Linked DNA regions of Daphnia pulex. The protein of the gene in region 1 purifies or fractionates together with the protein of each later gene. This does not show direct contact. Links are inferred from orthologs where the notes say so. Each region holds a gene or a part of one and is shown on either strand. Other genes may lie near its edges. The genes, in order: protein SGT1 homolog and E3 ubiquitin-protein ligase NRDP1-like.

Region 1 (15,311 bases):
CAAAGATCACCTTCATTTTACCTAGAGAAAATGATCCAACGTTAGTAAAAAGTATCGAGTGGTTCTAGTGTGCTTGAAATGCTCACTTTATATATGCAGAGAGGCAGATGAAGAAATGGAAATTACCGTTCTTATCGTTGTTGAATATGCAGTTAAGACTTAAGACTTATTGCGTGCCGATGAATTAAGAAAACGGTTTGGTGACCTCATTTAGGAACGCACGGAATTCATATTTCGTCACTCATTGCTGAGCACTACTCTACACAGAATAGTTATTTGGATGGCAGGCATTGCTGGATCATTGGGTCTACACCATCGTGCTGGTGGTGAGCCATCAATAAATCTATCAAATTGTGTATAAAGATTGTGTTGGAAAATCTTACTTTCGAGATTCATTTGCCTTTCAAGATAATATCTCACCGACAGTGTGGGTTGAACCTGCATTTCTATCAAAGGCATGGAATTAAGCAAATGTTATCAAACTGACAATTAAATCCCTGTGTTCTCAGTCTCGCTAGGTATTACCTCATAACACTTGTAAAGAGCACCGTGTAAGCAATGACTTGTATAAAAAATACAGATAACAAATTACAAAAGACTGATTTATGTAAATCTGATTGAAAAGTATTACCTTTATGATTTATCAGGACAAGAGGAACTAAAAGTTCACCTGCATGCTGGCTGCATCATCTCATACTAATCTGCAGACATTAATGGTTCATTTAAAAACATCATACACACGGTTGGTGTTACTATATACCTTATTAGTGATTACGATGGATCTGCTAAGGGATTTGAAAACTTAAACTATCCAAATCTATTAATGCAAACAAAATTCTAACGACCACGAGGGGTACATTACAGAACATTGGGGGGGAGTGGGGGAGTAGGAGCAGGGGGAGGGTGAGAGGTGTTTATAGGAAAAACAAAAGAGTAACGTTACGCGAATTACAAATTTGAAGTTGCGAATAGAAAACAGTTCCAGCATCTGGACAAGTCTGCAATAGTTGATAAGTGTAAGTCAGCTCTATAAGTACCAAAATATTTTTACAATTTCAATGTGATTACGCTTTCGTATTTGTTGTAATTGGAGCACAAGTAGGAAAATGGTTGAACAATCATCATTGGCGTAGTAGATACCGTCCGGTTTGTTTCTTTATTAAACAAATTATTATAACATAAGACTGAAAAAGGGAGTGTGTTTGTTTTTTAAAACTTACGTGCAACTAACGACGGTCGGATCTTCCGTCATTCGTCTTGTCATTTGTTGTACCCAATCACGATCCTTGATTGATACAACACGCACTTTGTAATTTATTTGATTATAGCGGGGATTTTTATCATTTTTTTGTTCAAATAGCGCAACTAGTCAAACAGTGGGGGGTTGTTATGACGTCAATCGTCCCACTTTGTCAGTCAAAGATCGAGCAGCCGTCGATAAATGTATCACCTGCCAAATCTCCACTCCAAAAGGAAGTCCGCAAAAATGCCGTCTGCCAGAAGAACTTGTTAGGAGCCACGAATGATCTAACAAATAAAATAAAATAAAATAAAACAACTAGGAATGGTGAATGCTGGCATTGAAATAAAAAAAATGTGTTGTATAATTTATAAACACATGGAACAAGGGATTGGATTTTCAAGGAACAAATTCGCTGGATTGTCTATTGTAGCAGGCAGCAAAGTCACGAGGAATCAGATCATAATCAATTCAATAATGCCATATAATTGAACATAGGCAAAATGAACCTATGATATGCAATGAGAAAATTATCGAATGCTGTATCCCCCCACACTTGTTGAAGGCATTATTGACATATAGCCACAATTACTGTAAACAAACAAATGCAAAGACTTTATTTTAAAAAAGCAGAGATAAAAAAATTGAAAAGGTTATTAAATTGCAAAACAGATAATGTAAACCAGACTGAGCAAGGCATAGGTTATCTCTTACATGATTCAGCAACACAAAAGAAAATATAACTGTTCATCTGACTCATCTCCACACTTATCTGCATTAATTAGATCACTAAACACATTAAACAAACAGGAGGATTTTAAAACTGTAACAATAATCGGGTTCTTTTTTAACAAATATTTTGTTATGATCGAACCTCAAGGGAGCCATTTTAAAAACCCTCGGAAGGTCGGAGAGAGAATAAATGGAATACGATGGAAAACAAATGAGTAACGCTAAGCAAATTGCAAATAAAAGATTTGAAAAATAAAAAGATAAAAACAAGAAACGATATGGGAATTTTCAATTTTGTATAATTTCAGTAAGATTATTTTGCAATACAATAGCAATAGAAATTGAAATAAATTTGATCCGAGGAAATTTTCAGAAGAATTATTGGGCCGGATCCGAAGATGAGACTCCACACGCCGGTACGTTGTATGGGAAATCGCATGCACAAATTTGCGAATTGAAAACAGTTCCAGCATCTGGGCAAGTCTGCAATTTAGTGAAATCAGCAATTAATACCAAACTATTTGTTGCTATCTTTAATTTATGTAATTACGTATTCGTATTTGTTACTATTGGAGCACATGTAGAAGATGATTGAACAATCATCGAATGGATTGGCGTAGATACCGTCCGGTTTGTTTCTAAATTAATCAAATTATTATTACATCACACTGAAAAAAGTAATGGCTTTTCTTTGTTTTATTTACCTGCAACTAAAGACGGTCGGATCTTCTGTCGTTGTGGTTGTTGTTGTGGTCGTCGTTGTGGTTGTAGTTGTTGTGGTGGTTGTCGTTGTGGTTGTCGGTTTTGGAGTAGGAGCGATATCAGTGTTGTTGTAGATCCAGTCCAGGTAGTACCGGACTCGACCGTAAATATTAGGCAATCGGGAACTTTGACAGTTGACTGTAGCGTCACCTAGCGAGGCCACTCCTACGACCGTGTACGATTCCGTCAAGTTGTTGAAATAATTCATCGGCCCACCATCATCTCCCTTTTGTAAATAGAGAAAAAATCAGGAAAATTACGAACGTTTTCATTTAAACTTTAGGATAAATTACATAGCAAAAACGATTTCCGGTGGATCCATCGCCGCAAATGACTTTGTCACCGGAAAAGGGCCCGTTGCCCCACAGTTGTTGGCATTGGCCGTTGTCACCGGATGAAGAAATAACTGACGTTTGAACCTTGCGTAATTCAGGACTCAAACCCGAGTCCGCTGTATCCAAAATCAAAATTAATTAACAATTTGATTCGAATAAAAATAAATTAAAAATATACGTACGGGTACTGGAATAGTTTCCCCATCCGGCAAGAGTCACGGGATCTCCAACTTGGTCGGAATCATCCGAATACGGAAGACAGGCCGGTAAGATATATTCTGCGCATATTTTTAAATTGAGCTATTTGATTGAATTGAATTCATAATTCATTAAGTCAATTATTACTGGAATAGTTGATTTCCTGGGGCAGTTCCAACAACGCCATATCGTCTTCCGTTTTGCCGTAATAATAACCGGGATAAGTTTTAATATTCTGAGCAGGAACGACAACAGTTTGACGATGAGGTTCGTTCCCAGCAGACGTATCGTGCGACCCCAAAACCACCGAAATGTTGACAACCCTTGAAGAAATTCACGATTCAAATTCTACATTGCATAAACTATTGTTAAAGCTGGTTAAAGTTACCCGAAGGTGCAATGGGCAGCCGTTAGGATCCATTTGGATCCGATTAAAGTCCCAGTGCAAGTAGCTCTATCTCCACTCCAAAAGTAAAGATTCAGAAAAACCGTCCAGGGATATTCGTTCGGTTCCGACACTTCCCCACCGACGATCCTTGACACTGCACTATTGGCCACTCCGCATTTGAAATCTAATTTGAAACATTCAATGAAAAATTATTAACTATTTGAAATAATAAATAGGTGAAATACCTTGATTGGCTAGTGGGATAAAATCAGCATTCTGATCCAGAGCGAAGGATTTCAACTTGCCATTGGCTATGCAAGGCTGTTGAGTCTCCCGGGACAGAATGGCAGCCCAACCAAAAGACAAAAATCCAATAAGGAATAATGCCATCACCGTCCATTTCTGATGACTAAACGAGTACGCCATGGCAGCCAGCAAATTTGGTGTTTGTGTTGGATTTTGATGGGTTTGCTGTCCGCTTTTTATACCTTATTTTGGGCGGGGCTGGATAGCCATTTGCCATGTCATTTTACCGATAATCGTTCAAGGTAAATTACAAATAACTTTCCTATTTGAAAAAGATTAGACGAAAGTCTAAGATGTGACAGCAATTTATAATACCAGTGTTAATCTTCTTGAAGAAATTAGAATTTGTTGTGTTAGAATTGCAGAGGCTTATTACCATGTGCGTCATAGGGACAATACAAGTTGCATAAAAATAGATTTTCGATCCCACAACAGGGTCCTCGATAGATACGACATGCACTTTGTAATTTATTGGATAACGTAGGGGAATTTAATTTTTTTCAAAAGGCGAAACAAGTCAAACAATTGGTCCGTTATGACGTCAATCGTTCCACTTATTTAGTCCTTTTTTTTTATTGCTTCAAGTCCGAATGAATATTCATATCGTTATTGTAAAAAACCTTTCGTTTCCTAATCCATTGATGGCACATAAAGCTGCGATGAATTTCATTCAATTACGGCAGTATAAAACTGACTGTACACGAATGCCAACGATAATGCATTGTTATTTACGCGACAGGTAAAATGCGTCATCTATTTCTTAATCAGGATCGTAAATCAAGATTAAGGCATTTTCAATTTAAAAAAAAGGCGTGTCTCCTACGATCTAATTGAACGAATAATATTCCGGTGCTACATAGGATATTCAAATGCTGATACCAAAGATTCAGTTCAGTTTTCGACTGTTCTTATGTCATGTCCTTATTTTATATAAGTGCAAAGGCCTTGATACACAATTCGGTTAATGATCAAATATTACAGAGAATTTTTTATTATTCACTCTGAAGATATAACCAGAGAATCGATTTGTATTTCAATTAATTGTTAAGTGAACATGTCTCATTGCAAATGATCATGTGATCATTTCTAATTATTTCGGCTGCTTATTCCTAAACGTTAAAATGAATTGGAACTAGCTTTTTCAACGCGCTAAACCTCCGCAGGCCGGAAAATTTTCCGGGTAGACGCAGACCAATATTTCGGGATCAAATACCGTTCCAGCATCAGGACAGTCCTGGATATGTTTCAATTATTAGCTAGTCAACGAATGAATCTTTGGAAATGAATTTTAAAGGAATTACGTAAAGATAAGCGTAGCCGTTGGAACATTTGTAAAAAGTAGTGCAACAGTCGCAGGCCGGATTCGGGTAGATTCCGCTAGGTTTTCCTTCACAGGTAAAGTAGCCAGTGGTTGGTGCAGGCGTTGTTGTTGTGGTGGTTGTGGTTGGTCTGGGAATTCGGGGGATGCCCGTCGTGTCGTGAATCCAATCGATAAAGTAACTGACACGCGCGCAAATGTTCGGTTTCGTGGAAATTGAACATTCGACACTCGTGTCACCAATCCAGGCCACACCCACTACCGTATATGTGTTCCAATAGGAATTGTAAAGATTCATCGGTCCCCCATCATCGCCCTGAAATGTAACAAGGTCCATAATTGATAAATGAATTTGTTCTGCGATAAGAATTCATACGTGACAAAAGTGTCGATTGTAACTCGAATCACTGCAAATGATTTTGTCGCCGTGAAAAGGACCCACTACTTCGCCGGAGGCTTTCTGCTGACAAATTCCGGTCATTCCGGAAGAATCGATGATGGAAGAACGGACACTCCGCAAAACTGGGCTCGTTCCGCTGTCAACTAATTATGCAGAAATAAATTTTTGTTTAAATTAGCAATCGAATCAACTAAAATTTCAAAAATTTACCGGAACTGGAATAATTTCCCCATCCGGTGATGGTTACATCAAAATCAACGAAATTTGGGTCATCCGAATAAGGCAAACAGGCCGGTCGAGCGTAATCTATTTTAAGAGATAACAAATATTATTCATTTTATTTTTTAAAGGTTTTCTAGACATTTGAATACCGGACATTACGGCCGCTTCCGGCAACTGAACAAGGGCAATGTCATTTTCCACTTGTCCGTAAGACCAAAGTGGATGGATATTCCATTTCTTGGTACTGAATTCTTGTCTTGGTAAACTGTTGGAATTGGTTACGTCATGCGCTCCCAGTATGGCGGTGACGTCAACAACTCCGTAAAGGCAATGAGCGGCCGTAAGGATCCATCGGTCGCTGATAAGAGTTCCACCGCATTGTGCGGAATCGCCGCTCCAAAACTGAACCCTCAAATAAACCATCCAGGGGAATTCATTGGGTTTCGTCTCCATACCACCAACTATTCTGCTGATTGGTCGATTGGCAATTCCGCACTCAACAGCTCCGCCTGTAAATCTCAAGTGAAATTACAATGTAATCAATTAATTTAAACAGGAAATGCTTACTTCCGTTGACGAATAACATGAAAATGGACAACAAACTAAAAATGACCCTCATTTTCTATTATTTGGGAATCTTGTAATTGTTCGTTCCGACCGCTGTGTAATTTGGCAACTAATTGCTACTGGGTTCCGACGACAGACTTTAAATACCCTGAGAGATTTTGGGCAGAGTTCCGATTGCCTTAGGACTGCAGGCTTGTGCATGATTTATTGGCGCAATCTAACATTCTTTTGTAATTTGTTTTAAAAAATTGGATTTCGTATTTTTCAGGCGGCAAACGAACAAACGTTGGACATGTTGGAATCTTGAAGAAAATATGGTGGTTTTATTTGTTAGAATACCGAGCGCAAACATCGACTCATTTTTATTTTAAGCTGGAATCTGATAAAACTTGAATGTCACGGTGGAAAGATAATTTTGTTTGTCGACGACGGATCAGAGTCTTAATTTTTACGACCCGTCAACATTAAGATTACGTTTTAAAATTTTGAAGAATTTTTCACGACACAAAATTGAGTAAACATATTCAACTGAATATTCATTTGGTAACTAGTTTCCTTCGTAAAATTTCCTAATTTGTTAAAAACAAAGCATGTGAAATTTAAATTTGAGCAGAAATTATCTAAAAATTATCTAAAAGTTGCTGTTTAGCAGCACTTGGCTACCAGACGACGCCGCAATGGAAAAAGCATTTCTCGGAAATTCTAGAAAAATTTACGTGTTGTTCAGTTCAGTCGTTTGTTTGCCGAGTCTTTCGACAGGTCTCTTTGAGTGAGGCAAAAATGTCTTGTGATACTCCATCAGAGTTGGTTTGGTAATTCGTTATCACATTAAGCTGTTGACATGGAAACACTGACTGACTTTACTTTTCTTTTACAGTAAGGCCAATGCAGCTTTTGTCAATGAAAATTATGAGGAAGCAGTAGAGGTGATTTGCTTGACTAGTTTAGTTTTAGGTAGCACTAAACTAACCACTTCTCTTTTAATTCTAGTTGTACAATGAAGCTATTAAGATTGTAGATGATTTACCTGAATATTATACAAATCGGGCTCATGCTCTGCTGAAACTTGATCGTTTTGCTGAATCCAAAAGTGATGCTCAAAAAGCCACAGAACTGGATCCTAGCGACTCTAAAGCTCACTTGAGGAAAGGAATAGCTTGCTTCCATCTGCAACAGTTTGAAGAGGCACTTGAAGCGTTCCAGGAAAGCTACAAACATGGAGGTAACTAATTTCAACATTTTTCATGAATACTCAGTGCAGCAGCTTTTCATTCTAGGAAAACATCCATCAGATGGTGTCAGACAATGGATTACTTGGACAGAAGAAAAACTTGCCAAATCTAGAAAGATTCCTTTGGTCATCAAGCATGATTGGTACCAAACAGAAAGTCATGTTTGTGTTACTGTTCTCGCCAAGAATCTCAACCCTGATGCTGTCAAAGTAGATTTTGCTGCATCAACAGTAAGTTTTTATCTAAAAAAAATGTCACAAGTTATTGTCACTAAAATGTGTGTTTCATAGATGGCGATGAAAGCAAAACTACCGGATGAAACGGATTACGAGCTCAATTTGAATTTGTCTTACCCAATCGTGCCTGACCAAAGCTTCTTCTCAGTCATGAAAACCAAAGTCGAGATCAAAATGAAGAAATGCGATGGTATACGGTGGAGTTCACTCGAGGGCCAATTGCAGGACAATGTCAAGCAGATTCCTGTAGCTGCTGCATTATCTTCTGAACAGCCACCGGTCTACCCATCATCATCTGCCAAAAAGATTAATTGGGACAAGATTGAGTCGGATATCAAGAAGGAAGAAGAAGAAGAGACACCTGAAGGGGAAGCTGCTCTCAATCATCTGTTTCAAAAGATTTATGGCGAAGGATCGGATGAAATCCGCCGAGCCATGAACAAGTCGTTTCAAGAATCCGGTGGAACTGTACTCAGCACAAACTGGGACGAAGTAGCCAAAGAGAAAGTTACAGTCAAACCGCCTGATGGAGTCGAGTTCAAAAAGTGGGACGAGAAATGAACTACCTGCCATTGAAAAATAATTTTACCGTCCTATACATTTAAATGGGCCGTTTTTTGTTAAACACAGAAAAATAACTTGCTTCTAATTTGCCTCCTGGATTTTGTCCTCATCTCGGGTTCTTTTTTGAAAATAAATCGTTCTTTTTGCGCCACAATTTTGTTTTGTCCAGAAATCGATAACTAGTTGCCACGGTAACCGTTTCAAACTAGTTTTATTTACACCATGGAGCTTTCTAAACTTGATATCAAAGGACTAGCTTTATTATTACAAAAGGTTTAATTCAACCTCAAATTAAATTTAACTTACCACCAATTTAATCGATTGGTTAATCAGGTTTATCTTCCAATGATGGAGCATTTAGCGCGTAACGAAAAAAATCGGGAATGGCTCGACACACTGACTGATTTTCAAGAGTATACAAGTTTTCATTTCACTAAACATTAAAGAAAGTAAAATTTTTAATGTATCAACATTAGAATATTAGTTCAATTTTTACTGCTGATTGAAGATCGCGATCTCACCAAAGTTGAAAATCCCATTAAGCCAAAGACCTCAAGTAAAGGCTATCCGGTATTGATTACAATCCTTAAATTTTAAAAAATGTAAATTTTAAATTGATTTTTGAATGAAAAGACAAATTTTCCAACACTGAGGGACGAGTCCGTCTTCTGGCAGAAACAACTGATTGATCTCAGCCATCAGCAACAATGGATGGTGCAAAATTGGGGAGAAGTGACGATAGAGACGGAATCATCCTTACGCCAAGTCCACTACACTCTCAAACTCTTCCGGCTAGTCAGAGATCCAATTCAAGTGAATATTTCATCCATGAAATTTTCTCTGAATCCTAATTAAAAAATAATTTTTTTAAAAAGGTTTTTTCAGAAAACAGATCGATAGAAAGGATTGATCTTTACGTCAAATCCCTGGCCAGTGCGTTAAAGGCTGTCATACTGCAACCCAGTGCAAAATCAGGGATTCACTCAAAGTTTTCCGAATTGGTGGCCAACAACACTCACATTCTTGCCCGATGGATGCTGCACGTCCTGCAACCGACTAATCTACTCAAACCGGAAGTGGAATTGGTCGTCAACGCCCTCAAGGTGTGGGAAATTCAATGGGCAGAATCCAAACTGGAAGTGGTCGGCAAACTAACCGGCCCGGAATTTAACGCCATGTTTCTGGCCACTCGTACAGTCCTGGATAGCATCTCAACAGTCCAGTCTCTGATCAAGGTATTAATAAAATTAAACTGAATAGAATTTTCTTTTTACCTCTAGAATGTTGTAGGAGACAAAAGCTTTGAGGGAGATGTCGGAACAGATCGACGACTACTTTGCCCGTCAGCGGCTGATGGCCACAATTCGAGACAAATTGGAAAAAAGGATTTCCAAACTGGAAATCCGGCTCTTTTTGGTTGACAATCACGAAGAATTCCAGGAATTTGTTAAAAGTCACCAAGCGGCTCAGAAATTGACTGAAGCGGAAATCAAATCCACCATAAAACACGTCCTAGATGCTCAGTAAAATTACAACATTTTCATTTGATTAATAAAACATAATACCTTTTTTAATTAGCACTTCGTTCGAGGGATTGAAACTGCTACGGAAAATCATCGACAAGTCTCATTCACTGGCTGGAACGCATTCGGGATCTTTGGACGAATTCCTGGAACAAAATCAACGAGAGCAACTGAGTCGATTGTCGACCGAGATCCGCCTCATCCGCAGAGGATTCGACATGACGGATTACTTGAACGAGAAGGAAGCCGAGAATGTTGACATGGCCCAGCGACTGTTTGAACGTCGTTTACTCTACCATCGAGTCAAAATAGCTTTGCTCACCATTTTTCCTCATCCAAATGATTGGGACGAAACGGCCGCATCAACCAAAGTAACGAGGGGTGCACTTAATTCAATGCCAAAATTACACTTAAACTTCTTTAACAGATCAAAGAGCAGTACATTGAATTGGCCAAATATTTGAAGTCGACAGAGGATAAATTGCACAACAAATGGTTTACAACTGTGCAGAAACGGGCCAACAAAGCCATGGCTCAGCCCATCCTGAAAAAGACAGCCAAAGGATATGTGACGACACTTCAAGACACTTTGCAAACCATTTGGGACGAAACTCGATTGTTTTTACAGACGAGATTCCAAGTTCCGCACGTCTGCCACATTTTACTGATGCAAAAACCGGATTTGATCCATCACAATCGAGCCATCGTGGCCATCCTGGAACGTTTGACCTCGGTGGTCGAGAAACTTACCCCGTTCGAATTTGTTGTCCTCACCAGCTGCTACTCTTCGGTGGAGGACGGATTGAATTTAGGAACGACTCACGTCACCTGGCCTTCCCTTTGCCTGGCCAGTTACATCCAGGAGCTGATGGAGAGTGTCGAGAAATTTCAGGGAATGGCGGAAGATGTGGCCCTCATCTCTTCTGTTTTGGACAAACGAATCGCCCAGATTAACGATTTCCAACTGTTGGTCGAGTCTCAGCACGACCTCAACCCAGTCACCGGTAGTGGCCCGCCCTCTGCTGACCAGTTTTTCAAAAAGTTGAGTCAATCGGGAGACGAATTCTTCCTCAACGTGAGGCGGATCGTCTCCGAATTGCCACCCATTCTTCTCCAGGTAAAAAAAAATGACGTACCAATAAAATTTTACATTGACGTAATTCAATCGCTTCTAGGTGGAGAGTATCGTGTGCAATTCGCAAACAGGATCGGCTCCTGAATTGCAAAACTATTACGACTATTGGCGAGAGAAGATTTACGTGGTAATTTTGAAAGCAGTTCAAACTAGATTGTTTGAGGCGCTGTCCAATTTACTTGAGAAGGGACCCGCCCAGTTTGTCATTCAATTATCCCTCCGAGATGCTAAAGTGGTGGTCGAGCCGGACTTGGAATCCATCGAACGCGACATATCCAACATCTCCCATCACTGGATCGAACGCAGTTCCTTGGTGCCTGAATGGCAGGAAGGATCGTGCAACGCCTTGCCGGTGGACCAACGATCACTTTACGACCGGCTGAGTCGTGAGCCGTTGCTCAAAGTGACACTCCAGCGGGACCAGGATCACTGCAAACACCTAGTGGGAAAACTAAGGGGCATCATCGACAGGTGGAAAGATTGCGCGGAATTGTGGAGTGTCAACAAGATGGGAGCCTGTGAAAAGTTGAGAGGCACCTCGCCCACATTGTCCCAATACGACGAGCAAATGCAACATTACCGAAACTACTGGAGCGAAAGGGTTGGTGCAATGGAGGCCCAGGTGGTCACATCTTGCGTCACTCTGCAGATGAAACAATTGAAAATGGCGGCGACGGAACACATCAGGGAATGGATCCGCCAATTGGGGGCCACCTGGTTGGCTGCTACGAAAGAAAAACTGGAAAAAGTCGAAGAGCTGATTAAAGTTAGACACTTGCAGGTGGACGGCAGCACGGAAATCGACTGCGAAATCCTAATGATGGAAGTGCAAGAAAGTTGGCACCGATTGTATCACTACAACGTCGTCGTGCCCGAGGAGAACAAGGCAAAATTCAAGGGCGTCCACAAAATGCGTCGAGTTCACGCTAAATTGAAAGCAGTTCAATTCAATCCCAGCAAGAAAAAAAAGGGAAAAGATGCAATGTAATGTGAGAGCGAATCGTTTTTTCGACAATAAGTAAACGTGCTATTAGTCGTGAATGCTTTTGTATGTGTGTTCTAAAATTCCAGTTTTTCGTAGAGTGAATGAGAGAGCGACAAGTGTTGAGAAATTTCGTTGGGATCACCCCAGAAGACGCGAGGGACCTGTCGAATTGAATTGTTTAGACATTTTTGTACGTTGTAATCAATTTTGTAATACTGTCATACCTTGAGGTCCTTAGCCTTGCTCTCTTTTGATGTGTATTCACGCAGAATGTATTGATTATCTTTCTCGTAATAGAGTCGGGTGTCGTTGATGCGGATAAGGACGTCATCGACGCGCAGGTAGAAACGCAATAAAACAAAGAATCCGCTTGGCATGGCTCTCTAGTGACAACATTTGATATCAACTTTACAAAGAATGTGAATAAAAAATGCAGATTCATACCACTTTGATGGAGAAAGAGGCGCAACCGTGATCGGCGAGCTCATCCTCGTATAAATGAATTTCATCAAAGAAGAGAATGGCTTCCTTTTGTTTCAGTTTCTCCATGTCAATCCTCAAGTCGGTTGCACTGACTTTCAAATCTCCAAGGACAGTCCCCCGATAGTCTGTTGTAAAGGTCCAGTCAAATGGATGGCTTACTTTGTGTGATACATTCATGTCTGCTCTGATTTAAGAATTAAAGATGGCATGAATAAAGCAAGCACATTATGGTAATTTTTAGAAATGATCGTTACCTGGATTCTTTCCAAGCTTCTGCTATCGCAACCTTGACTAGATCTTCCTTGTCATTTACTAACTTCAAGGCATCCAAGGCATTGAATTCGATTCCAGAGCCGTTGGAGAGCTGAATTCTTAAAACATTATCGGGAAACACCATGTCAGGCAAATGGGGGATTGATAGATCATGAAAAGCAGCATGGCGATCTTTACTGGGTGAGTTTCCAGTTGACTTGGAAGGAAGAATGTGGCTTTTAACTGTTTGTATAGTCCATGGTAGAAAGTCAAAGCTCTCTTCCGTAGCAGCCGGAGTGGAAACAACGTTCCTGCTCATACCTTATTTCTATCGAGTTAAAATCTACCTAAATCAAAACACTACTGTATATATTTTGGCAAGAAAGAAAATGGGGCTGTTGGATAACAATTTTTACAGTTGTCTTTTTTCAATTTTAATCCTAATAACCCGGCGGAAGTCAGCAGATAACTCGTTTGAATAGGGGACCAGGTGTGCGTGATGAAAAGAAAACCTATGGACTAGCAGACGATTCTAGAAAAATAGTTAATTATTGATATTAAATAAAAAAGTAATGTGAGAATTGAAATAAAATAACAGTAATTTCAAATTTTTGTAATTAAAAACACTAACTGTCTTTTATTTTTTTTAAATCGTTTAGTTTACTTGATTAAAAATGTGGCAACTGAGAACTGACGAATGAATAATAAACGAATGGCAACGTTTTGTTGTGAAATCCTACTGACTAATTTTTCTTGATAAAAAGTTTGACAGCCGGAATCAGCGATATTATTTCGGTGTTTTGAAAATATGGATATTATTTTTCACGAAAAGGTATTGCTATTCTTTTATGGTATGGTTCATTGCCTTTTAAACACTGTGTAATGTGTTGAACCAAGAAACGTATTAAATCATGTCTTGTCAATCTATAGCAACAAGGGTCGTTATGCGCACAACACTGTCTAAATGCGCTTCTTCAAGGACCTTACTTTACTGCTGTTGATCTAGCTACAATAGGGCATCGTTTCGATGAAGAGGAGAGAGCTCGAATGGCTGAAGCTGGAGTCTCCAGTGAAGAATACAATCGGTTCCTTCAAGTAAATTTCATCATCATAATTTGTTTCCGTTTTCAACAAAATAAAATTACTAATGTGTTTACTTAGGAACCATCATCTAATGTGGATGACAGTGGCTATTTTTCAGTCCAAGTCATCTCTGAAGCACTCTCGGTATGGGGACTAGAACTGATTCCTTACAATTCTTCAGATCCACGTGCAGCTGTGACCAGACAGTGCCCAATGTAATTATGTAATGCAGGAATATTTCAAAATATTTATTACAACACATTTCATGTTTTTTTCCAGAAATGAAAATGCCTTCATCTGTCACTACAGAGACCACTGGTTCTCTATTCGAAAACTAGGCAGACAATGGTTCAATCTCAATTCCATCCTGTCAGGCCCTGAACTCCTTTCCGACACATATCTTTCCCTCTTTCTGGCCCAGCTGCAGACTGACAAATATTCCATCTTCATAGTTGTAGGTGACTTGCCTAGTTGTGAGGCTGACAAGGTCTTGAGTTTAGCCCCCCTCTCTCCTCGCCACTTTAGAAAAGCCCCAACCAAGAAACAAGAACCAGAAGAGGACGACGAACAACTGAAGGCTGCACTAGCCATGAGCTGGAAAGAAATGGAAGAAGGGGATGACCAAGAAGCCCTGAACAAGGCCATTCTACAGAGTTTGCAAAGCAGTCAGCACGGTCAAGAACTGCCAGCAGCTATCGCCCCAGAGGCGAGCATCAGCACTGTCGACGAGGATTTGAAACGAGCCATTAGCTTAAGTTTAAGTCAAGATCACGGGGAAACATCTTCGTCTACCGCAGAGGCCTCCACATCGTCGGCCATCTCCGATTCGGTTGAATTCATTCGACAGAGAAGACTTCTCCGATTAGGACAGTCAGCCACATCGCCAAATAACCCTTGAATCAATCAATTGCCTTTTTTGTTTTCATCCTTTTGTTAATTTCAGTGTTTAAAATATTCCGGAAAAAAGGAAGTGATGTTTGTTTCCTTAAAAAAGAAGTGGAGTTGTCTAAATTCAATTGTGTAATATGATTTTGTCTCTTTGTTTTGAAATTCTTGAGCTAATAATCCGACTGCTATCGACTTGATTAAATGGTTTGTGTACAATTCTAAAAGCGAATCGGATTGAAACTAATGGTGTTTTGCGAATTTGTTTAACGTCTCTATTACTTTGTGAATTGATATTTAAATATGCGCCAGCAACAGTTTGTTGCCATTTAAATATTGAAATGCGATAACAATAGCAGCAAGCTGACAAGTAAATGCAATACACACAACACATTCAATGACATTTTCTAAAACATTTTTACTTGTCTGGCTTGGAATAAAAATGCCACTGATTTGGTAGTAGGG
Region 2 (15,511 bases), on another chromosome or scaffold:
AAACCAGCTGACACTGGCCGGAAGGCGGACAAGCTGGCGGAAAATTAATCAGCTGACGCGGGCCAACGAGCCGGACAAACTGAGCGGAGGTGAAGAGTCAGCTGACGGGCAATGAAGCCGGACAAACTGTGATGCTGGAACAACTGGAACGTAGAAACAGCAGACGGAAACAGATGACGGGCTGAATAGCTGGACACTGACACTGGACACTTGGACACTGGACACTGTGACAGCTGACTGGAAGGGCGTTGACGAAAGACGACGGAGTGAAACAGGATTTTGCGGACGGTCCGGCGGAACCGACCAACGCAATCGGGCGGGAGATAAAAGGAGAAATCACGGACGATCTGGCGAGATCGACCAATGAGTTCAAACAAACGGGGGGAATATCCACGGACGATCTGACGAGATCGACCAATGAACTCTCGTCTCACGACACACAGCAATTATTATATTGAACAGGACAAACGGACGATCAAGAAAGAAATATAATAATTGTAAATGTTGCTTTCTTCGGGTTGAAGATCTGGACGACTGCGACGTAAACTGCCAGCTGGCCAGTTTCTTCGTGGTTATTTTGTACGTCGAATGAATATTTGCTGAACTACTGAATAATTTTCTCCCTGCCACATTTCACCCAGAAGCCAATCGCAGATCTCAACAGACGAAATTCCCAGGTGATGATGGACGCCAGTCTAACTTCTACTTCACTTCCAATGTCGTCCAAATTCGCCAATGTCGCAGTAGTAGGAGGGGTGGTGTAGTTTGGTCGGTGTAGTAGCTCTGGTGTAGTATGATCGGTGAGTCAGTGGGAGTTATCCCGCTAGGTGTTGGTCTGGTCACTGAGAGAAAAGGCGGCTCCGCCGGCTTGATTAAATGAGAAGAGGAACTGTATAAAACTTGACTTGCCCAATCACTCGTGCCGAAGCAATTAGGCGAGTGCCGAGTGAGCCTAGTGAGCAATTCGTCCAATTGGTTGATCAGTAACTTCCAATTCCCATATGCCAATATGGTTTCTCAATATGGAGTAGCCGTTCAAGGAACGGTGGCTACTGCCATCTAGTGGCGTTGTTGGCGTGCTGGATAGCAGCCATCTGGCGGAGAAGAGAGATGACTCGAGCCGTAGCGTGGTGCGTAGGGACGAGATTAGCATGGAATGGCAAAATAAAGTATATACAGCAAAGTGGACAAAACTGAGTTCAGATTGAAGAGCACTGCAAGTTTAATGTTGGTGGTGGATTACACAGCACAGAAATCAAGTTTTTCCACTCTAAAAATTCAATCCAGGAGGAGCACCTCTTACACACGTCCGATCGGTTCGACAGCAGACGAACTGATCGTCTGTATAAAACTTGAATTTACTTATGAATTCATCGATAATTTTCATGGAAAAAAAGGAAAACTTTTGACAACCACTCAACACAACAATCCGCCATCACATGAAAACGACGACGCCTATGTCATCTATTGGACAACTCTGACACTCCAAGTCCCAACAATCAAAAACGAAATTTTAGTTGTGTGAGACACAGCATTAAATTTTTGAATCCTAGTGAAATTGTAGATCTTAATAAAAACAGAAATATTACATATTTAGGTACCGATAATGTTTTACCGCACTGGTTATCGAGCTGCAGTTCTGTATGTGCCATGTATAAACTCAAAGCAATTCAGTTCTTTAGCTACTTGTATAACTTGAACAACGCACTTGTATTTGCTTTATTAAACCTAGCTTGAAATCTTGAGATTAGTACAGAGAACAAAGCTCATTTGCTAGTTTTATGCAAATTTTCCGGAAGTATACCGGAAGTAAGCGATAGTGCCTCTACCATTGAGCTGTCGTCAAAATAAACCAAATATTCGTGATCTACGTGAAATTTGGGGTCGATTAGATGTAATTTAAACGAAATCCAGATTTTGGCCAAAATCGAGAATTTTCCTGAACTATAGTTCAGGAAAATTTTCAAAACCGGAAGTACGAAAACGTACAAAAGAAAACATGAACTTTACCACAAATTCGACGAGGATCACGAATATGTGGTTATTTTGTGCGTCGAATGAATATTTACTGAACTACTGACTGAAATGGGAAAACCGGAAGTAGAAAAAAAAACATATTATTAAAAATCTAGCAAGTGAGCTTTGTTGCTGAAACAAAAACTGACAGTTATCACCCAAAATTTTTTTGAAGTAGCATTGAGAAATATCTACAGAGATGTTTAAAGTTGACGTAACTAAACTGATTCTGACAGGTAAAAATGATCAAAGGCTATGCTGTCTAGTGTCAGAAAGAAGAAACGTTTTAAAGTAACATGAAATGTCCGCTGTAACTCGGTGACACTCAATTGAAAAGAACTGACAAACAAAGGTAACAAATAACTTTGATACTCACGTAATATTCTCCATGAAAAATTTCATCGAAAAGCCACACGCAGCATCACACATCAAAAAAGACGAAATCCCCAAGGTGATATTGAACGCCACTTCAACTTCTACACTGAGGAGAAGGCAATCAAGACAGATATCCGTTCATGTTGTCTGCAAGTGATTCCAGACGTTTCAGCACCTGGGCAACAGTGCTGGAGAATAGATTGCTGAAAGTGATAACACCCAGTGTTGGTAAGGTAGACCTGCCAGTTATTCAGAATGTGTTCCTATTCATTGTAGCATTCTATTAGGCTACATACTACAAGGCAACAGCAAATGTAAAGTCAATCATAAACGATGGTGGAGGTGAAAAATCCTTTCCACACAACCCAATCTGACAGAGACTGGGCATATAATTAAATGAATATCACATGTACCATTAGAAAATTTAGGTGCATAACAGCCTAAGTTAGCTTTAAACTTGAGTTTATAGGTTACAACCAACTCAAGCATCTTGTTAGAACAGCAGTTTTAGAAATGAAATAATCAAATAAGCAGGCAGATTATACACACATAGTGATCATGTTGTATTATGCAATTGGAAAAGGAAACAGAATCAAACACAGATCATAAGTCTATCTATTGTTACTAATTTCTCCCATAATGACACTAATTTCCCAGTAACATTTTCGTCCATACTGCTGTATCGGAACTTTACAATAAACTTCGCTCCAAATCCAAAGACCTTCAAAACTGCGACAAACTGAATGACAAAAAAAAAGTTTTAGAATGATTTATAAAACATAAAGTAAATGTCTAAGCGTAGACATTCAGATTTTATACAGCCAATATTAATGGTTTCATTAAGGTCAAACGGTAACTCGTTTTCATCAGACTGGTAACAATTTAAAGTGATATGAACTCAAATTACCTTGTGCAAGTTTCATAGCTCCATACCATCCCACAGACGTTAAGCAACGGATCGAAAATTAACACACCTAAAATATGGAATAACGTTAGGAGAAAACTAATCTCTTTACACCAACATGTCTATCTACTATCAGGGACTCGAGTGGGTCTTCATAGTTATCAGAAACACAGGAAACATTTGTCATCACAAAATTTACAATGAAGGTTTGACATCAATCTCTCTATTACCTCAGGACTCCTTAAGCCGACACTATTAGATCCAGCGTCTCACCGCATATATCCCTATTAAAGAAAATCAAATGATAATATTGAAATTTATCCGGTTGCCCAACCCCTTGCTTTAAGAAAACAAAGCAAGAAAGGCCTCAGGGACTCGCTTTAATGTTGCAAACTGAACAAAAAGAAATCTGGTGTTCAGCAATTTCTTTACAAAATATCATTTGCCCAAGATCGCAATAATCGAACCATTCTTACCTCGACAACAGGGATTTATCAAGAAAACGTATATAAACAAAATCTCCAACAATCCAATAGACCGTAGTCAGACCTAGATATACCAAATTATTAAATTAGATAAGAAAAATTTAACCAACAAACAACACAACATACCCAATAACATGCTCGCCAAGTACTCCAAGACAACCGACCGAGCAACCTAAAAAGACGACAAAATAAAATCATCGTTAAGGTGCAGAAAGCAGTAGCTCAAATGCAGATTAAGATAAATAATCTATCAGGGACTCGAGTGAGTCTTCATATAATTGTCAGAAACACAGGAAACAATTGTTCATCATGATATTTACGTTTAATTCGTTAACATATTGAGCTATTACCTAATATCCTATGAAGATGGCGCCAAAAAAAAAAAACACCGAACAATAAACCAGTCCATCTGAACACACAAAAAACACAAGTTATTTTCATGAATTTGTCCGGTTGCCCAACCCCTTGCTTAAAAAAAAAACAAAGCAAGAAAGGCCTCAGGGACTCGCTTTAATGTTGCAAACAGGACAATAAGAAACCTGGCGTACAATTGTCTCCTTAAACAAACCTGTTTGCCGAGTCTCGCATTAAAAAAAATTTACCTTGTGTAAAATGAACTCCTCGGATTCCAATGACGTTGACCAAGAAGCAATACCACATTACCTACAGAAAAAAATAAATCTATAACATCAGTTTGTATCGCTGATATCGTCAACTCAGTTAAAGATCAAAAGGAAGGCAGAATGAATCATCATGGAACTCGGAAAATGCTTTTAAGCGTTCTCATCATTTCAATTTACGTTAAACATTACAAGTAATTCTCTCTACTCACTACGTAGATCATGAAATCACCAGCATCTCGAAACGAAAGAAAATGAAACTCCAGTTTTTGGCCCAGTAGCTCAACAATCGACGGCGGTTGTTAAACAAGACAATCTGAATAAACGAACCAAACAAATCGTCAATATTTGTTTACAGCCGATTAAATGATATTAAAAAGCCTGAATTATCAGGGACTCGAGTGGGTCTTCATGGTTGTCAGAAACACAGGAAACTGTTGTTCATCACAAAAATCCAAAAGAAACCATTAAAACTGTCCATTTACCTAAGAATCGCAAACACCTTCATGATTGTATCTCATCTAGTGTAATGCACACCCACTGCCTGCAAAAAAATAAAAATAAACACCATTAAAATGTTAAATCTTCCTGTAAAGTCAAAACAAATTGTCTCAAACCGAGGTGATCAACCTCTGCAATAAATACAGATCGAGCATAAGTGGTTAGACGTTTAATTTATGAGATCCTCTAGCACCGGAATACTACATGTGCGTTAAACCGGTGACTCTGAGGCTCAAATGCAAATGTAAAAATAACTATACCTCCTCCATTGGCTCCATAGCCGTAACAGTCGACATCCATCCTCCACGAAATGTCTTGGCATGGAATCTTCTCTGTAAAAACGATATAACGTTAAGGCGAGGACTAGACCAAAATGACGACAAGTCACTCGATACTTTCAGCACATTTAGTAATCAGGGTACATATTTAGGTGTCCTAAGAGTGTCATCAGCAAAATCCAACAGCATATTTTACATATATGATAAGAAAACCAACCTTTATTCCTCGATTACATTCAAATCAGCGAATTCTGGAAGATAGGTTACAACCAACCGGTGCAAAACCAAGTGAGGTCAGAAATCAATCTAGACATAATTGATCATGAAAATCTACAAACCATTTCAGTGTGATACTGCTTTGGTCTACACTTCAGAATATTGCGATAGAGATTTAATCAAAATATTAATTTAGGTACACTAAATTTCATTGTAATCCTAGGGTCATCAGGACTATTTACCCATATACAATAGGAATTCGTTTTTACCTTCCAAACTAGTCGTCTTCAAGGCACCAATGTAGCCTAAATGCATGATTTGTCTCACAGCCCTTCAAAAATTGTTTCCGATCCTTGCACTCATCTGCCATCATCCCTCCTGGCATTGAAGATATCAACCTAAAATGAACAGATTAAGAGATATAATCAAACCTGTTCCTACATGAGGCAAATTAACAACTTAAATTGACAAGTTAGTTACTAGACAAGAGGAAATTTCATTCGCCTCATGACCGTTACTGCAACATTGATTTCAGACTGAACATGGAATTTCACTTAAAACTACTTATTATCAAACTTGTCCATTTTAACCAAAGAAACCCCAGACCAACCTGAGGCTTCTTTCTCTATAATATACTTCTTAGAGAAAGTCGGTTTTATTAGACTTCAACCTTACCAAAGCAATACACATATAGATATTAAAAATGTTCAGGCTAATTACTGTGTTAAGAGCGTTAACCATATCCTACAACTACGTTTTCAAAACTTAAATGAGAAACTAAAAAATTAGAAAACCCAGAATAACCACGTGTTGATCAACTTACATGTTCAGCATTTGAAGGATTGGTTTGAAATGAAAAGAAGTGACGTTGGCACTTCCATATGTAAACTTCGTTCCCTAACCGTCAGACTGCGTTTTACGGTTTAATTTTTCTACCGCCCGATGGCTCTGCAACACCTTGTTGTTGCATTTATTTAGGTACGTCAATTCTGTTCCCCCTTTATTAAAAAAGAAAGAAACGCGAACTCTTACTGAGAAGCAGGTGTGTTTACTTAATTAGGTCAAAGTTTTCTTGGCCGTTTTGTTAACCAAGAAAAATGGGAATTGAAATAAATCGATTTCAAGGAGAAGTTGATGAAGAATTGTTGTGTCCAATTTGTAGTTCAGTGCTCGAAAATCCGTTACAGGTAATAATGACAGTTCGCTTCCAAAAGCGAGAGTAGCAATAAAATTTCCCCAGAGGGAATGTGATGGATTTAATAGACTTGTAATTTCAGGCACCCAACTGTGAGCATGCATTTTGCTCTGCTTGCATTCACGAGTGGCTCTCGAGACAGCCAACTTGTCCTGTCGACAGACAAAACATAACCCCTCCTCAGCTGAGACCTGTTCCCAGAATACTTCGGAACCTACTATACAGGTTGGTGGTTTGGAAGTTTGAAACCTTATTATCAGTATGAAATTGTACCATTTCTCTATTATTTTTCTAGACTACAGCTCACTTGTGATAACTCTGTTTATGGGTGCACTGCAATATTGAAACTAGATGCCCTGGAGTCTCATGTACAAGAATGTGAGTTCAATCCAAAGAGACCGGTGCCATGTGAGCTCGGCTGTGGGCTAGTTGTGCCAAAAGACGAGTTGAAAGTAAGTGGGTTGTTTTACAGGTTACAACTTTAAATAGTACCTTATTTATGTTGATTGCATTTCCAGGAACACAACTGCGTGCGAGAGCTGCGCTCGTTGATGCAGGCCCAGCAATCGAAACTAGTTGAGGTGCAGGCGGAAGTAGCCGAGGGCAAATTTCAGATGAGCGAACAGAAACGAGAACTGCAGCTGCTGAAGGACTACATGCTAGCCATGCGGAACGCCAATCCTTCGCTGCGGATTCTGGCAGATCAGATGGAAGCCGACGAAGTGAGACGCTGGGCCGAAACTCTACCCAAGGCGAGAGTCCTGCGCTGGGGTGGCATGATCTCGACTCCGGACACGGTGCTACAGGTAATATCCTACAGTTGGCGAGCTCAATACATTCAATCAAATACGATAACCTTTTAAAGTTGCAGGCAATGATCAAGAGAGCCCTTTCCGAATCGGGTTGCCCACCGCACATCATCCAGGATCTGATGGAAAACGCCCACGAACGGCGGTGGCCGACGGGATTGTCGTCGTTGGAAATCCGCCAGCTGAACCGGCGTCAATACGAGAACTATGTCTGCCGGAGGATTCCGGGCAAACAAGCCGTGGCCGTCATGGCCTGCGACAACGGACATATGAATCCAGATATGATATTGGAACCGGGTCTCATCATGATTTTTGCTCACGGTGTAGAGTGACACCCCGGAATTCTTGTCAGATTATTAATCCAACAACATGTTTGTCTTCAGTGTCCTCGCGACCGGCTGGACCACTCCAGCGAGCTGACACTAATGAATTTGTCCCTTTTGTCCTTTAGTTCAGAAGCAGCAGTCCTCTCAACTTACTTAAAAGAATCTGATTTATCTTTTTTCGAATTGTTTATCGTCATCAGTTACTTTCATTGAATCGTGCTCAGTTTGGGGGCTAGGTGTAGGTTTTTATTTGAAATGTTTCTCAATTGGTGTCCCCGCTCTTCGGCGGTTGTAAATGTTCGATACTTGATTAATGATGGCAAAAATCTTGTTTTCTTTCATCATCAACTTTTATGTGCAAATAATGATAGTATATTCCGCCGATGCTGCGGAATAATAAATAATAAAACAATAACTGAGAAGTCAATCGTATGGTATAGACAGTGTGTGTTTGTGTGTATTTTTTTTTTATCTTTTCGTCGATTATTTTTCTGTTATTATCTTTTTCAAACCGGGTTTACTTCTTCTCTCTTTTCAGTTATAATCACATCATCGTCACACATGTTATGTAACATTTTTGTTTTTTTCAAAGTGTGGAAATGGGTTGAGGGTTGGGGGTGGATTTTTTGGAGATGTAATCGCACTACATCACATAGCCATGCTCATCCGAGTATTTAATCACATCACTCAAAAACACTTCCTCTTTTTTAATGAAGTTGATTTTCTTTCTTTTTCGAAACTTTGTTTTCGTCTCCATTCGAATGGCGGAGGGGAAGGATCGGCGGGTAGTGAAACAACATGATACGGGAAGCTAAAGAGATGATTTCAAAACAAGTTATTCACAATTAAGGACAAAATCGATGAGCCAGAGAGAGATAGAGAGAGAGAGAGAGACGTAATAATAAAGTGGTTGGATCGAAATCAAACGTCAAAGAAAAACTACATTGTGTTTGTTGTGTCTGTGCGAACATGTATATACAATTCTTGTACTGAGCTTCTGGAATCTGAAACACACACACACGCATGGAAAATAAAAGACAAATGATTGGCTTTTGTTTCGACGTAATAGAATCGATAATATAATATATAAAATCTTCTGTATATCTATTTAGAGAGAGAGAGAGAGAAAATAAAAGATGGGGGGTGAATCAAACGGCAATTAAAGTTTGTAAGGGGGGTGAGCGAGTTTCAGAATGAAGGGAAAAAATGGGGGGTAACCGACGATCCCGAATCTGCTGACAATCGGATCTGATCTGTGAGGTCCGTTCGGTTTTGAACAAAAAAAAAAGAAAATCAAATAATCAAAAAAAGCCCACACTGCGCAACTGCAGCACACATTTGTTTGTTCTTCTCCTTGTCGCTTTAACCTCAATAATTCTTCGTCTCAAATTGGGCGGGGTCGGGAGAGGAAAGAAGCGCAGCAAGACGTCGTCGTCGCTCCATAATGACGGCCAGTGAGCTCAATCTCGCTCGCGCGAGCACGAACACGAGAGAGAGAGGGAGAGAAAGATAATGTGGGTAATCACGACACGACTTGTCCACAGACCCGCGCAACCAGCACACACGCTGGGAGGACAACAAAAACCAAAAGAAACGGGTTGAGGAGCAGGAGAAATGGTTGTTGTTGTTGTCGTCGGCTCTGTGGTGACAATTTTTGAACACAGTCTCAGGTAATTTATACATAGCATGATACAATCAGTCGATGGGACTCTTTTTTTTTTGTCTTTTTTTTCAATACATCCAACTCGCTAATTAGAGGTGGAAAATCAAAATACGTGTGGTGTGTGTGTACTCACTGCGTGAGTCTGTGCGGAGTGGAAACGAGGGAAGAAGGTCAAATAATCGAAATGGCGACATAATAAGACACGACCAGCGGATGGTGAGAGCAACAACAGTGGAGGTTATAAATGGAAAGACGAAGTCACACACACACACACAGAGAGAGATACTCAGGTCATCGAGTCAACGAATTGGAATGGAGCAAATTGGGAGAGTTGGTTGCTGTTGTCGATGGAGAAAACGGAAGCTCCACCGCAAGAAATTGCGGATGAATGCGCTTTCCTATTCAATCCTCCATTCGGAAGAGAATTAGGAAAACCAAATATGAAATCTTTTTCACGGAACAACAACATCATCGCCATCTTTCTTGCCTTTGTTTAGACACACAACCGCAATGTGAATTGGGAATTTAGCCATACGCAATCCATTCCGGATTCCCCCCACCCTCTCTATTGGTGGGAGGGGCCAAAAAGAAACGAGTAGAACAAACGAGATGTGTAGCAAAGACACACACATAAATAATAATTAAAAAAAAACACCCAATCAATGACAGATTATTAAAAACGGGGGGGGGATGTCATTCCGGAATTTTTCTTTTTTATCCGGAATCTTTGCACCGTGGATCGGAGACATGGCCCAAGTCCAAGTCTTCGCTGCGGGTGTGCGTCCTGAGGTGCCTGGTAATCATGTCGCGTCGGCAGGCGGCGTAGGAGCACTGCGGGCAGCGGTAGGGCTTCTCGCCCGTGTGCGTCCGCTGGTGGGTGCTGAGGTGATCGGAGCGTGAAAACACCTGGCCGCAGATGCGGCAAGTGTACGGCTTGAGACCCGTGTGCAGCCGCATGTGGCGAGTCAACATGTCGCTGCGGGCAAACGGCCGCTGACACACTTCGCACTGGTAGCCCTTGACGACCACGCCGGAATCGGCCGAGGGGACGGGTCCAGCTGCTGCTGCTGCTGCAGCCGACGATGAAATGGTTGGGGTCGTGGCGCCACTGGTGGTGCCACCGTTGAGCAGGGCTGAAGTCCTTTGCAGTTGGACGGGCAACTTGTGCCGCGACGTCAAATGTTTGACCAGCCGGTCGTGCTGGTCGAAAATCTGGCCGCAAATCTCACAGCCGAAGGCGGCCGGATGGGGGCCGCCCGGAAGCAAAAGCGGAGCGGCCATAGAGATGGGCGAAATGGCCTCGCTGTCGGCCGACAAGTCGACGGACGAGGAGGAATATTCGACGGCCGAGAGGTACTGCGACAGCGACAGGCTGCGCGTCAGAGCTTTGAGTCGCGACCCGCGCGATTTGCCCACACGCGAAGACGTCGCCGTCAGATGCGACGGATGCGACGGAGGCGGCGTCTCCAGTCCGCCGCACAGCGGAGAGGAGAAGGCCGACAACAACTCGGACGACGACACAGAGGCCGTGCTCGTGTTGGTGCTGTTGGTCTGGTTGGGGCTGTCGGAGCTGACGCTGCTGCCAGAGCGGACAGACAAGTCGACGGGAGACTCTTGCTGGCCAAAGAGCGGCGACCAGCTGTCGGTCGAGTCGGACGAGTTGCGCTTGAGCGACACCATCAGCGGCGGCGGCCGCAAGTGTTCCAGTCGGCTCAGCCGCTGGTGGTGGCCGTGACCAGCACTGCCACCACCGCTGCTGCTGCCGCTGCTGCCGTTGAGCGACTGGGACGCCGCGGCGGACATGGCCGGCGTCAGGACCCAGGAGGCCGGAGCGGCCAGAGGTGTTGTCGTCGTTGTTGTCGCCTGGTGATTCGACGAGGATTCGACTTGACCGCCGGCCATCAGTCGCTCCGAAACGGAATCGCTGCACAAATCCGAGTCGGACCTGGCCCGTCTACGATTCGACGGCTCCACCACGTCGAGGAGGAAGGAGCCGCCAGAGACGGGAGCTGCCGGGCGCATGGGTTGGCCCGTCAGGCTGCTGATGTAATGATGAAACGGCGAGCTGGAGGCGTGAGGCGGAGTGATGGCCTGATGAAGATGATGATGAAGCTGGTGGTGCTGGTGCGGATGATGATAATGAGCGACTCCTCTCTCCTTGACTCCTCCGCTGGTGGACAAGTTGAGGGGCGTGGCCGCGTCCGGCACGGTGAGCGATCGGCTGCGAGTGAACGCGGTGGCCGACGGGTCCGTCTGGTCGTTGGCCGGCGGTTCGGCGGCAAAGCTCAGCGGACTGAAGGAGATGCCGCTGGGCGAGTCGACGAAGGTGGCGCTGCCCTGACTGCACGGGCTGAGTTGACTCAGCCGGTCAGAGTAGGACGAGGTGAGACCCAATCCGGGACTAAACACTTCCTCCTCGCCTTCCTCGTCGCTCTGCGTCATGCTGGCGCTGCGCTGGGCCGAGCAGACGGCCGCCGCCACGACGGCCGGCATGACGTGGTCGAAACTGAACACTTGGCCGCCACTGTGCTGGTGCGGATGCAGGTGGTGGACGTGCTGGATGTGTCGCAAATTGCCCCGCATCCGCAATCGAGACATGGACATCAAAGTCTGTTGCTGCTGCGGCGACGGAGACTCGCCACTCCCCACCGACGACTCCATGCTGACCGACACGGGTTCCTCTTCTTCTTCTTCTTCTTCTTCCTCCTCTTCTTCTTCTTCTTCGTATTCTTCTTCTTCTTCTTCCTCGGAGAGACTGACGCAAATGCGTCCGCGTTGATCGATGCCTTCGATTATCTCCGGCTCACTATTGTTGTTGTTGTTGTTGTTGTTTTTGTTGTTGTTGCGGAGACTACTATGATTACTACTACTGCGGATGTTGTTGTTGTTGCGGTTCTTGTTCCTGGCGACGGGACCGCCACAACCGACACTGGAATGAGCGCTATTAGTGATCCTACCAATGGGAGCACTGCCGACCAAGTGGGCGATTCTGCCGACCAGCTGATCCAATCGTTGGCGTTTGCGCTGCGTCGTCGACCTTGCTGGCCCAACGACTGACGTGGTCGAGATCATTCTTGTTTGGGATTCTGCTGGCTGGACAAGACCTAACGGCTACTCCAACGACGGCCAGCACCAACGTGGCCGTGACACTACAACTCACAACTCGGGTGGACGGGCGATGATGATGCTGGGCAACTGGGCGAACCAATCCAACTGCACTGAGCCACTTTGTGTTTGAGACAGCAGCAGCAGCAGCAGTCCTGCAGCGTCCAGGGAGACCACTGGTTGGCCCACCAAGAGTCTTCCTGCAATATCGGGGAGAGAAAAAAATAGTAAAGACATGAGTGACATTGAATTCTCAACAGGGATCTTTCCACATCCCTCACTCTCTCTCCACGCTTCATGTCACTGTTCATCCCCCCTTCACTTGTCTGTTTGCCACATTAGCTACAAATAATGAGCTCTTGTACGAGTGGACAGTAACCAGTACGCAGACACACACCCACACACAGACATACACAGTGTGTGTGTGTGTGTGTGATGGACAAGGCGAATTCAACTAGACCGTGGCAAAACGAAAAAGAGAAAACTGCTCGACGTCTTAATTCCCCGTCTAAACATGTACAGTCGACGCACGCTAGTAGTTTCTTCGATCTTCTTCCACTTCTACTGCTCAGTGAATAAGTTGTCTGCTGTGGCTGGATACTTAGCCCAACTCATTAACTAGGGCTGGATGAATCTAACCTGATTACGTTGGTCTAATTCCCGCAGGCAAAGCCTTTGGTCTCTCGGCCGTCTAGAGAGGCACATGATTTCCTTGAGTCAATTCTTTATTAAAATCACGCGGTGACACAGAAGCCGACGAATTCGAACTGTCAAAGTTGTGCCAAACGAAAAAGAAAAAAAAAGTTGGTGCGGCGTTGCCACACGATTGCACCAAAGCGACAAACGCAGTCGCTAGCAAAAAGAAAAATCATTTTCAAAAAGAAAAAGAAAAAATAAACGCAATAAAAAAAAAAGCAGAAAAATAAAATAAAATAATTAAAAAAATAGTCTTAAATAAAAAGGTGTACACATAGTCTGCACACGTATGTTTCGGGCGGGAGTGTCTCCCGCTATTGATTGCCATACACCAGTATTGATTTCCAGGCGTACATATATATATATATATATAAAGCGTATATAGGCCTCTCGGTCTACTACTACTAGTCTATCTATCTCGGCGTCTTCTACATATTTCACCGGATGGCAGACTCTTAAATATGTGAAGGAGAAGCAGAAAAAAAAGTTTACTCTCACTCACTCACTCACTGCCTTCTTGTGTATAGCTTACAAATAATAAATAGAGAGGGAGCCAGGAGCCAGTCAGAGTTTTTCCTTTTCTTTTTTCCCGAACGGAGGGAAAATGTCCCATCCAGTCGATGGAAGAAAAAAGAAAAGTAGAAGCTCATCACGCAGAGACTATTTTTTTATTTTCTATTTTTTTTCTTATCTCAAAGAAGAAAAAGAAGAAAATGATAGAGGGGATGAAGAAGACTGTGATCTGCGTCAGCAGCAACACACTAACGGGTGAAGCCGAACGTGAGGGAGAAACTCACGAAAAGAAATAGACACACACAACATTCTTGAAGATCAAGGACACACGGAGCAACGGGGTAGAGAGAGTCCTGGCAACACGAACCCTCCCAAAAAGAAAGAAAGAACAAGTCAAAAGAAAAACACGGAGATGATCACAACAACAACGTCGTCCGTCGTTCTCCCGCGTTACTTTTTCTTCTTTTTCCCCATCATCAAATTCGGGATCGAATTTTCTTTGACGACGGACAGACATAGTGTCGTTAGCGGGGCGCCGTGAATGTGAGACCGCGATGCGGTCAATCATCCATCTTTACCGTGTCTATCAAGAAAAAAGGCCCCTCCCACCACCAGGGCGTGACGCAATGGCCAGGTGTCAAAATGGGCCACCAACGTGTCAAGAGGACGACTCTTTTTTTCTTCCGCCATCTCCCAATTGAAAAAATTGAAAAGAATCAAGTGACAAGTCGAAAACTTACATCCTGGCTGACATTGCAGTGCACCGTCTCGAGGAGCTGCCAACCCCACAGCCCGTGATTATACAACTCTTTGATGGCAAATGGCAAATGGGGGTTGAAACAACAACAACCACAACACTCAAACAACAATGTTGTGTGGTGGTGGTGGTGGGGAGTTGATAGTGTCTGACTGGTCCACACAAACACACACAAAACAACACGACAAAATCGTTTGATTCGCTCACGATCAAAAATATAAGACCAAGGAGATCGAGTGTGTGCGGGAGTCACTGGAAACGCCGAAGCGCACTCAACGACGTCCCGATGGCACCTGCCTAGAAATACGGCGACTACACCGAAGCTATAGGGACGGACTGACGGACGGGAGTGGCGGTTGGGGGGGGGGAGCACCTTCATCACGACGCCGACGCCATGCAGCATCGCCAACCCCCCCCTTTTCCAACCTTTCCACGTCCAATCTCTCAAACTCCTACTTTTTTCGTTTTCTTCTTTTTTCTTATTTGGCTGTTTTTCCGTGTTATATACCAACGGTTTTCTCTATCCCGCCCCCCCCCCTTCTTTTTTTTGGCCCGAGAGGTGGAAAAGAACCGTAAGTGGGGTTGGGAGGGGGGTGGTGGCGGGAGCGTAGAGCAAAAAGTGATGACGTCAATGGCACAAGCTCAAGAATCAATACCAGGTTCTCTGCTGCTGCTGCTGTTGGCTCCTCAAAGGGCGTTGGTTCCGCTCCCGCTGTCGTCGTCCCTCGACTCCCGATTCCCGTTTTCCTTCACGAAATGTTTTTTTTTTTCTTTTTTCTAAAGAAGAGAGAAGAAAAAAGGGGGGCCTCGATCGACATCTGACATGGCCGCCCCGCCTAGCGGCCATCAATCTCCCGCCCCTCCGCCATTGCAAAAGATGAGAGGAGAAATCAAACGGGAGAGAAATTTAATTGCGCCATGGCCAATCATTAAGACAGAAATAACGTCATCTGTTGGTCGTCTAATGCACGCAGACGAATAGATTGTGACGTCTGGTGCGCGGCACTTGTTGGCACGCGGCTATTTATTCAAAGAAGTCGAGCGGGAACAGG

The links.
Region 2: the proteins of protein SGT1 homolog (region 1) and E3 ubiquitin-protein ligase NRDP1-like purify together in Homo sapiens (affinity purification with mass spectrometry; 3 studies listed by BioGRID and IntAct, with this or other methods). This does not show direct contact. The link is inferred for Daphnia pulex from reciprocal best matches to the Homo sapiens genes SUGT1 and RNF41.

What each region holds. Positions count from the first base shown.
Region 1 is NC_060023.1:194,421-209,731, forward strand, and holds protein SGT1 homolog, read left to right. Parts: upstream 1-7,121; 5' UTR 7,122-7,248; coding exon 7,249-7,280; intron 7,281-7,345; coding exon 7,346-7,394; intron 7,395-7,458; coding exon 7,459-7,690; intron 7,691-7,745; coding exon 7,746-7,930; intron 7,931-7,990; coding exon 7,991-8,497; 3' UTR 8,498-8,654; downstream 8,655-15,311. Other genes in the region: chymotrypsin BI-like, read right to left, coding at 1-16; brachyurin-like, read right to left, coding at 2,351-2,455, 2,523-2,610, 2,677-2,960, 3,028-3,185, 3,252-3,347, 3,415-3,590, 3,656-3,839, 3,901-4,081; brachyurin-like, read right to left, coding at 5,103-5,195, 5,263-5,595, 5,656-5,822, 5,890-5,985, 6,051-6,410, 6,469-6,520; dynein axonemal heavy chain 10-like, read left to right, coding at 8,846-8,913, 8,977-9,070, 9,134-9,313, 9,376-9,735, 9,791-10,023, 10,079-10,394, 10,451-11,140, 11,199-12,146; TIP41-like protein, read right to left, coding at 12,218-12,304, 12,368-12,526, 12,588-12,810, 12,881-13,197; ataxin-3-like, read left to right, coding at 13,687-13,710, 13,809-13,973, 14,040-14,176, 14,241-14,859. UniProt on the Homo sapiens protein: May play a role in ubiquitination and subsequent proteasomal degradation of target proteins.
Region 2 is NC_060021.1:11,010,433-11,025,943, forward strand, and holds E3 ubiquitin-protein ligase NRDP1-like, read left to right. Parts: upstream 1-6,440; 5' UTR 6,441-6,492; coding exon 6,493-6,582; intron 6,583-6,672; coding exon 6,673-6,815; intron 6,816-6,885; coding exon 6,886-7,042; intron 7,043-7,108; coding exon 7,109-7,396; intron 7,397-7,455; coding exon 7,456-7,731; 3' UTR 7,732-8,162; downstream 8,163-15,511. Other genes in the region: uncharacterized protein LOC124194673, read right to left, coding at 10,103-12,460. UniProt on the Homo sapiens protein: Acts as E3 ubiquitin-protein ligase and regulates the degradation of target proteins. Polyubiquitinates MYD88. Negatively regulates MYD88-dependent production of pro-inflammatory cytokines.